2 linked regions of the Caenorhabditis elegans genome follow. The protein of the gene in region 1 interacts with the protein of each later gene in a pairwise test. Each region holds a gene or a part of one and is shown on either strand. Other genes may lie near its edges.

The links.
Region 2: the proteins of skr-7 (region 1) and cul-1 interact in a two-hybrid assay, tested with the Caenorhabditis elegans proteins (2 studies listed by BioGRID).

The regions. Positions count from the first base shown.
Region 1 is NC_003283.11:4,420,144-4,423,556, reverse strand, and holds skr-7 (Skp1-related protein), read right to left. Parts: upstream 1,131-3,413; coding exon 546-1,130; downstream 1-545. Other genes in the region: skr-14 (Skp1-related protein), read left to right, coding at 1,982-2,488; Y47D7A.2 (Extensin-like), read right to left, coding at 2,869-2,963, 3,018-3,282.
Region 2 is NC_003281.10:10,469,488-10,473,415, forward strand, and holds the start of cul-1 (Cullin-1), read left to right. Parts: upstream 1-1,749; 5' UTR 1,750-1,750; coding exon 1,751-1,878; intron 1,879-1,932; coding exon 1,933-3,163; intron 3,164-3,685; coding exon 3,686-3,928. Other genes in the region: D2045.5 (non-specific serine/threonine protein kinase), read right to left, coding at 1-16. UniProt on the Caenorhabditis elegans protein: Probable core component of multiple cullin-RING-based SCF (SKP1-CUL1-F-box) E3 ubiquitin-protein ligase complexes which mediate the ubiquitination and subsequent proteasomal degradation of target proteins.

The sequences.
Region 1 (3,413 bases):
AAATCATTTTTTCGAAAATTTTTTGATTTGGGAAGCTTCTTCGCAAATTTTATTACAGCAAATTTGCTGCACATCCAAAAATTCTGATCCAAAAAATAACTAAATAACACCACAATTTCCCGGCCGACTACGGAAAAATATTTAAATTAGGAGCGGACTAGGGCTTCTATATAGGCGTTTAACACCTGCCTGTCTGACCTTAATGCGACCTCCGCCCGCCTCTCGCCTCAATCCGCGCCTATGCGAAAGGCCGGCATAAGGCGGGCAGGTTTCGGGCAGGCGTCAGGCCCTGAAACCGCCCCTGCCTACCATGGAAGCCAGCACCTTCCTGTGAACTATGATTAAAAATTTTCGAGAAATTTTCAAAACGTCTTGTTCTATAAATTTGTATTTTGGAACCACCTTGAGCCTCGAGCCTCACACAATAATTTATCATTTTAGGACAACACTTTTTTCTGTACGTACAATTCTTTTGATTAAAAACGTTTAATGACAGCGAAATGAATTTATTTGATCAAAAACTCGGAAAATTTAGAACGTGGGAGTTACTTGGAAGTTGATGGTTCAGCTGCGTCCTTCTCTGTGATTGCCTTTTTCTCAGCTTCAGCCTTCTCCTTTGCAGCCTTCTCGGCAGCTTCATCCTCCTCATCAGTTGGAATTGCAAAGAGAACTCTCATCTCATCAGGGGACTTTCCGATAGCCATGTTGGCGACCATCTTGCATGCATAGCTCATCAATCCAGGCACATCAAGGAAGTTGGAGGCAACAATCAAGTCGAAGAGCACGTCGTTGTCGATTTTCAAGAAGTTGGTATCCCATTCTGGAACAGTGATGTTCTTGGGAACACTGTCATCTTCAACTGGAAGTGTTTCTCCTTTGTGTTTCTCACACCACTCAATGACCATCTTCATGATGTTTCCGGTGACATTGGTAATTGGAATTGGATCCATTGAAGCAACATCATTGGCAACACATGTAGAAATCAGATTGGAGAGGGTGTTCGACTGCTTTACTGCTTCATCACTGATTTCATAGACTTGTCCATCACTTGATTCGACCTTGTACATGATTGGGGCGACAATTGGAGCCTCGTTGGCTTGAACTTCGACGGCGGCGGCTTCAGCAGACATTTTTGAAAGTTAGGGTGATTTCTGGAAAGATATAAATCAATATAGATATGCTGAAGAGTGCAGATGAAGTTTAAGAGAGTAAAATTGCGGAATGATAGAATGAAAAATGGGAAACTACCGAGAAAGAATTGAATTTTGGTTCACATATATTTTCAACATTCGTTCTTCACGAAAAATTGCATTTTTAGTAGAGTTATAACCATTTGAAAAATTTCAAAATTATCAAAACTGCTAAATAAAAGGAATATCTTTTTGACCAGGACTGTAGAAAACGAGGAAAAAACATAAGAAAAAAGAAAAGTAAGAGAAAATAAATTGCGACTGCTCGCGATGAGAGCCAAACGACAGAATGACCATCGAACAGACTGTTTTCGCTAAACGACGAGAACGCTGCAAATGTAACCCATCGGACGCGCGGTAAGTCAGTTATTGATTGGAAAATGTACATACACACTACTATATTTGCAGCTGTTCTTCGTCTTTAGCTCGGCTGAGGGGACTCTATAACACATTGTGCAACTTATCGATTCATTTTCAACGGCGCGTCTGACAGAACGGTGTGCATTGTCTGTACTCACCCATTCATTATGCAATTTTCCTTGTCTTGGATCTGGTGTTTTCTATCTGCTTTTCCTGTTTCTATCCTTTTTTGCCTGCCTTACAACCTTATTACACTCTTGTTGTAGGTGACGTCAAAATTTTTTTTTACTCCGATAATCTTCCAAAATCTCATTTAATTTTAGTTTAAATCTAGTCAGTTAGGTTTGCCATCGATACCTTTACCTATTTTCTATTTTCCAGTCATCTCGCAATCTAAGAATTCAATTTTCAGAATCGACATACTCATCACCATGTCTGCTCCAGTTTCCGATGCTCCAGCCGCCCAAATCTTTTACAAGATCATTTCAAACGATGGAGTCGTGACAAAAATGAGCGAGAAAGCCGTCCAACAATCGAAGACTCTCAGCAATCTCATTGAGAATCTCGGTTATACCATTGAAAACATTGAGACCCGTGATCCAATTCCAGTTACTAATGTGAATGGAAAGACTATGGAGAAGGTCGCTGAATGGTGTGAGAAGCACAACGCCGATGCAATTCCAGAGGACAATATGAATGTTCTCAAGACCCTCACCATTCCAGAATGGGATCAAAAGTTCTTGAAAATTGAGGATGAAGCTCTGTTCGATTTGATTCTGGCGTCAAACTTCCTTGACATCAAGGGTCTTATGTACTATGGTTGTAAGACTGTATCCAACATGGCAAAGGGCAAAACGACAGCTGAACTCAGAGAGATTTTCGGAATCAATACGGACGAACAGGATGCTGCTGAGGGAGGTGCCGTAGAAGTTGCTTAATTTTCTGATGTTTTAATGACTTTTTTCTTTTCTTTTCATGTTCCACTTTGATTGAAAATAAAATTTATGTTCAAAATTTTGAAAAAAGAACACCATACTTGTAATCAAACATCGATTATTTTTCTTATTGAAAATTGGTCTTGGATGCAAAAACATCGGGTGATTTTGTTAAACTTTTGGAAATGCTCCACACCATTCAATGCAAGTTTTGGAGAATGTTGAAAGCATTCACCATGAGTTCAATTTTAAAAATCTGTTACTGCTTCACACATAACATTTCTAAGTTGATGTTGAGTTGAGAAAAATGAGTTGAATTATGAAATGTTTATTTGTTCAAGTTTTAAAAAATCACAGTGCAATTTGCACTAAAACTACTAAATCTATTGCTTCTTCTGTTGGAATCTCTTGATTGGCTGGAGAGCACGTCGTTGGAATTGCCGATTGTGCGCGGTACGTGCCTTGGCGCGCTTGCGATCTGTAAAATATTTATTTATTGAATTTTTAGTCAGAAATTGATGTTTTCCCTTACACTCCGATGTTGAAGCAGCACCAGTAACTGATTCAGATTCAGTATCTTCTTGATTGTCACTTGAAGAATAAGCAGATTGAGCTGGTGGAGCAGAGTAGGATGGTGTAGATGGGTATGTTGGAGCGACTGGATACTTCTTCGGAGTTGGGTAGGATGGTGGTGGTGTTGGATAGGATGGTGTAGTTGGATAGCTATTCTCAGCAACTGGGTATCCACATTGAACAAGGATGACCAAAAGGGTAGAGAAGATGATGAAGGAACGCATTTTGATGTTGAAATTGATAACGACTGAAGTCCTGAAATACCTTTTATACGAAAAATCTACTATGAACTTTTGGAAGTGAACTGAAAAAAAGGGAGCTAATTGTAAGAGTAGTTTATTTTATGAGGTTTCTG
Region 2 (3,928 bases), on another chromosome or scaffold:
CTTGAATTTCTTCCATACTGATTCTGACCACGAAATCGATTGAAACTGTGTAGCTAATAGAGAAATGTAGCTTTTCGAAATATTGAAATAAATTTAATTATTTATTCAATCCTTTTATGTATTGGTTTTTTGTTATTCACATTTTAAAATATTTTTTATTTTTCACGGCCGTTGTTCACCGATCATATGATTACGGTGAAAATTCTAAAACTATTTATTTCCTATTTTATACCAAATAGTTGCAACATATTCTGATAAATCATGTAAGTCTTGTAAGAATACAAAATGTTCTTAGATTTAATTAATGTTGTTTTTTCTTGTTATTCCAGGTACAGTATCTTTTTAAAGGCGCACGAACTAATAAGTTTACCGAGTCCCGCCAAGAACTGTTTCGAGTTTTACAGCGATTTTTGTTCATTTTTTTTCAGTTTTTGTCTATTTATTTGTGAAAGAATAATTTCTCCTCTTTTCCGCAATAGAAATATAAAAAATGATTACAGTTTTATGGGCTCCTGTTTAAAAAACCTAGTTCTACAGTACTTCGATTATTACTTCCACTAATTAAAATTTCCTTTGGGCATCGCCAGGATCGATGTACAGTTAAAAATCTGTTTTCCACCTGTTGTTTTATCGAATTCTTTTTTTACTTTTTTTTCTGCATAAAATGCATGTTTTCTCCAGTTTTTCTCGAATGAAAACGCGTTTTTCAACTTTAAACTATTAAAAATTCGCTTTCGTGTATTTTGCACATCGAAACACCTAAAAAACAAACTTTGCTATTGTTAAAACCTTAGAAAACTCCGCCCGTTCATTGCACAGCCGCTAATCATTCCCTCCTGTGACCTTTCTTTTCCAGATCATCCCGCCATCTCAGCTGTCTTTTGTGCACTAACAGAACCATTGTACTCACCAGAATTTCTTTAAGAATCGATGAAGACACAAGATGAGGCGTCTCTAGCTTGTGTCGCGCAGTCTCCGTCTCCAAGGGTGTTTAGCTCACTGAAATGGGCTCTGAAAAATCAACTGAAATTCGCTTTTTTTCTGTTCTTGGAAATTCCTGAGTCCCGGGGAAAATGAAATAGTCTAAAATTATTATTATTTAGGTGTCTTTCATCTGAAAATTTTCCAAAATTCACAGAGTTTTTGAAAATCTCCTGTTAAGAACAATTTAATTTATTTCCCCAGTATCACTTGAAAAGCTAGAATTATCGCTGGAACAATTTCCTTATGTATTTATTTAATTTCCCCTTTTCCCAGGCTAGCAAATTAGAAAATCTCCTATTTTCCCTCCAATTCCCAGTTAAATTTATCGATTTGCGGTGAGAATCGCGTCCGAGGGCAATCGATTTACTGTCTTCCCGCGATTTTCAGCGCGTCTTCTTAATTTCCAGTCGGAGGCTCACTATCGAGTCATTTCTAACGTCTGCTGGCTCACAAGTATCCCCATTCAGTGATGGCTCTGGATTTTCGTCTTTTTTTTCTATTCTTCCAGGATATCTATATTTCTCCCCCAATTTTGCTCCAGTTTTCCAATTTTTTTGAAAACATCTATTTTTCCGGGATCTCATAAATTTTCTCAATTTCAAGCCCATTATTTCCACCTTCGGTGACTTTTTCCCAACACATGATGATTTTGGATTGGAGCGCGTTTGCGTTTGGGCCCTTGTTTCCTCGTTCCTCTGTTTCTTGCGAAATTGACAAATCCCTTGATTTTAATCGACAATTATTTTTTAAAAATGTGTTTTTCAGTATGACAAATAGCGAACCGAGAAGAATGACGTGTGATTCCGAGGTGGTTTGGAAGAAATTACAAGATGGACTTGATGTAGCGTATCGCAGAGAAAATATGGCGCCAAAAGACTATATGACTCTTTACACGTAAGATTTCCCCCCGAAATTCCACAGAAACTCAATAAAATCTTTAATTTTCAGAAGCGTCTATGACTACTGCACATCGATAACATTGTCCACAAGCCGCCGAGACGGCGAAGACGGTCGAGCAGAATCTTCAACTCCAGCACGAACCGCTGGCGCGGATTTTGTCGGTCACGAGATGTACCAGCGTGTTGAGGAATATGTAAAAGCGTACGTAATCGCTGTTTGTGAAAAGGGCGCCGAGTTGTCGGGCGAGGATCTTCTGAAATACTACACAACTGAATGGGAGAACTTCCGAATCTCGTCGAAGGTGATGGATGGTATTTTTGCCTACCTCAATCGTCATTGGATCAGACGTGAGCTCGACGAGGGCCATGAGAACATTTACATGGTTTATACACTTGCGTTGGTCGTCTGGAAGCGTAACTTGTTCAATGATCTTAAGGATAAGGTGATTGATGCGATGCTCGAGCTGATTCGTTCCGAGAGAACCGGATCCATGATCAACAGCCGATACATTTCTGGAGTTGTCGAGTGTCTTGTGGAGTTGGGTGTTGACGATTCGGAGACCGATGCGAAGAAGGACGCGGAGACCAAGAAGCTGGCCGTTTACAAGGAATTCTTCGAAGTCAAGTTTTTGGAGGCGACCCGCGGATTTTATACCCAAGAGGCGGCAAATTTCCTGAGCAACGGAGGAAATGTGACAGATTACATGATTAAAGTGGAGACAAGACTTAATCAAGAGGATGATCGCTGTCAACTCTACCTGAATTCTTCCACAAAAACTCCACTTGCAACTTGCTGTGAATCTGTGCTCATCTCTAATCAGCTTGACTTCCTCCAGAGACACTTCGGTGGTCTTCTTGTCGATAAACGAGACGATGACCTTTCCAGAATGTTCAAGCTTTGCGATAGAGTGCCGAATGGACTCGACGAGCTCAGAAAATCCCTGGAGAATCACATCGCAAAGGAGGGTCACCAGGCGTTGGAAAGAGTTGCTATGGAGGCGGCAACCGACGCGAAACTCTACGTGAAGACGCTTCTGGAGGTTCATGAACGTTATCAAAGCCTTGTCAATCGATCATTCAAAAATGAGCCAGGATTCATGCAATCACTCGATAAGGCGGCGACTTCTTTTATCAATAATAATGCCGTCACTAAACGTGCCCCGCCACAGGCTCAGTTGACAAAGTCCGCGGAGCTTCTTGCCAGATATTGTGATCAACTGCTCAGAAAAAGCTCGAAGATGCCCGATGAGGCGGAGCTCGAGGAGTTGCAGACGAAGATTGTAGGTTTTTCTCGCTTTTTTTTTTCTCAAAATGGCGTAATTTCCAGCTAAAATTTGAAATTTAACCAACTTTTTGCATATTTTGGTTGTTTATTTCGTTGATTGAGGAACATTTTCGATCGATGAGTGCACACTGCGAAACTGATAAGTTGGCTAAATTTGAGATTTTCGCTGAAAAAAAAAAACAGATTCCTCTCCTTTTTTTCATATCGTTTTTCATACCGATTTTTTCATATCGATTCATATCGAGGCTTCTCAAAATTTCGAAAAATACGGCAATTTTCCCAACTTTTCAATTATTTACCTTTTTCTGACGTTTAAATGTGGCTATAAATCGACCTAAATCAACGAAAAACGCCAGTAATCAATTAAAAATCAATTTCCGACATACGGGAAAATTTGAGGTTTTATCTAAAATTGCCATATTAAAGGATTAAAAGATTTAAAATATTTCAAACCTCCATAGAAATGAAAACCCAATTTCTAAAAAGTTAGCTCAAAATTCTAAAATTTCTATTCCAGATGGTTGTGTTCAAGTACATTGACGATAAGGATGTATTCTCCAAATTCTACACGAAAATGTTCAGCAAACGACTTATCAGTGAACTCTCAGCAAGTGATGAAGCCGAGGCTAACTTTATCACGAAGCTCAAGAGTATGTGCGGGTACGAGTATACCGCCCGTCTCTCGAAAATGGTCAACGATACTCAAGTCAGCAAGGATTTAACCGCGGATTTCAAGGAAAAGAAAGCGGATATGCTCGGC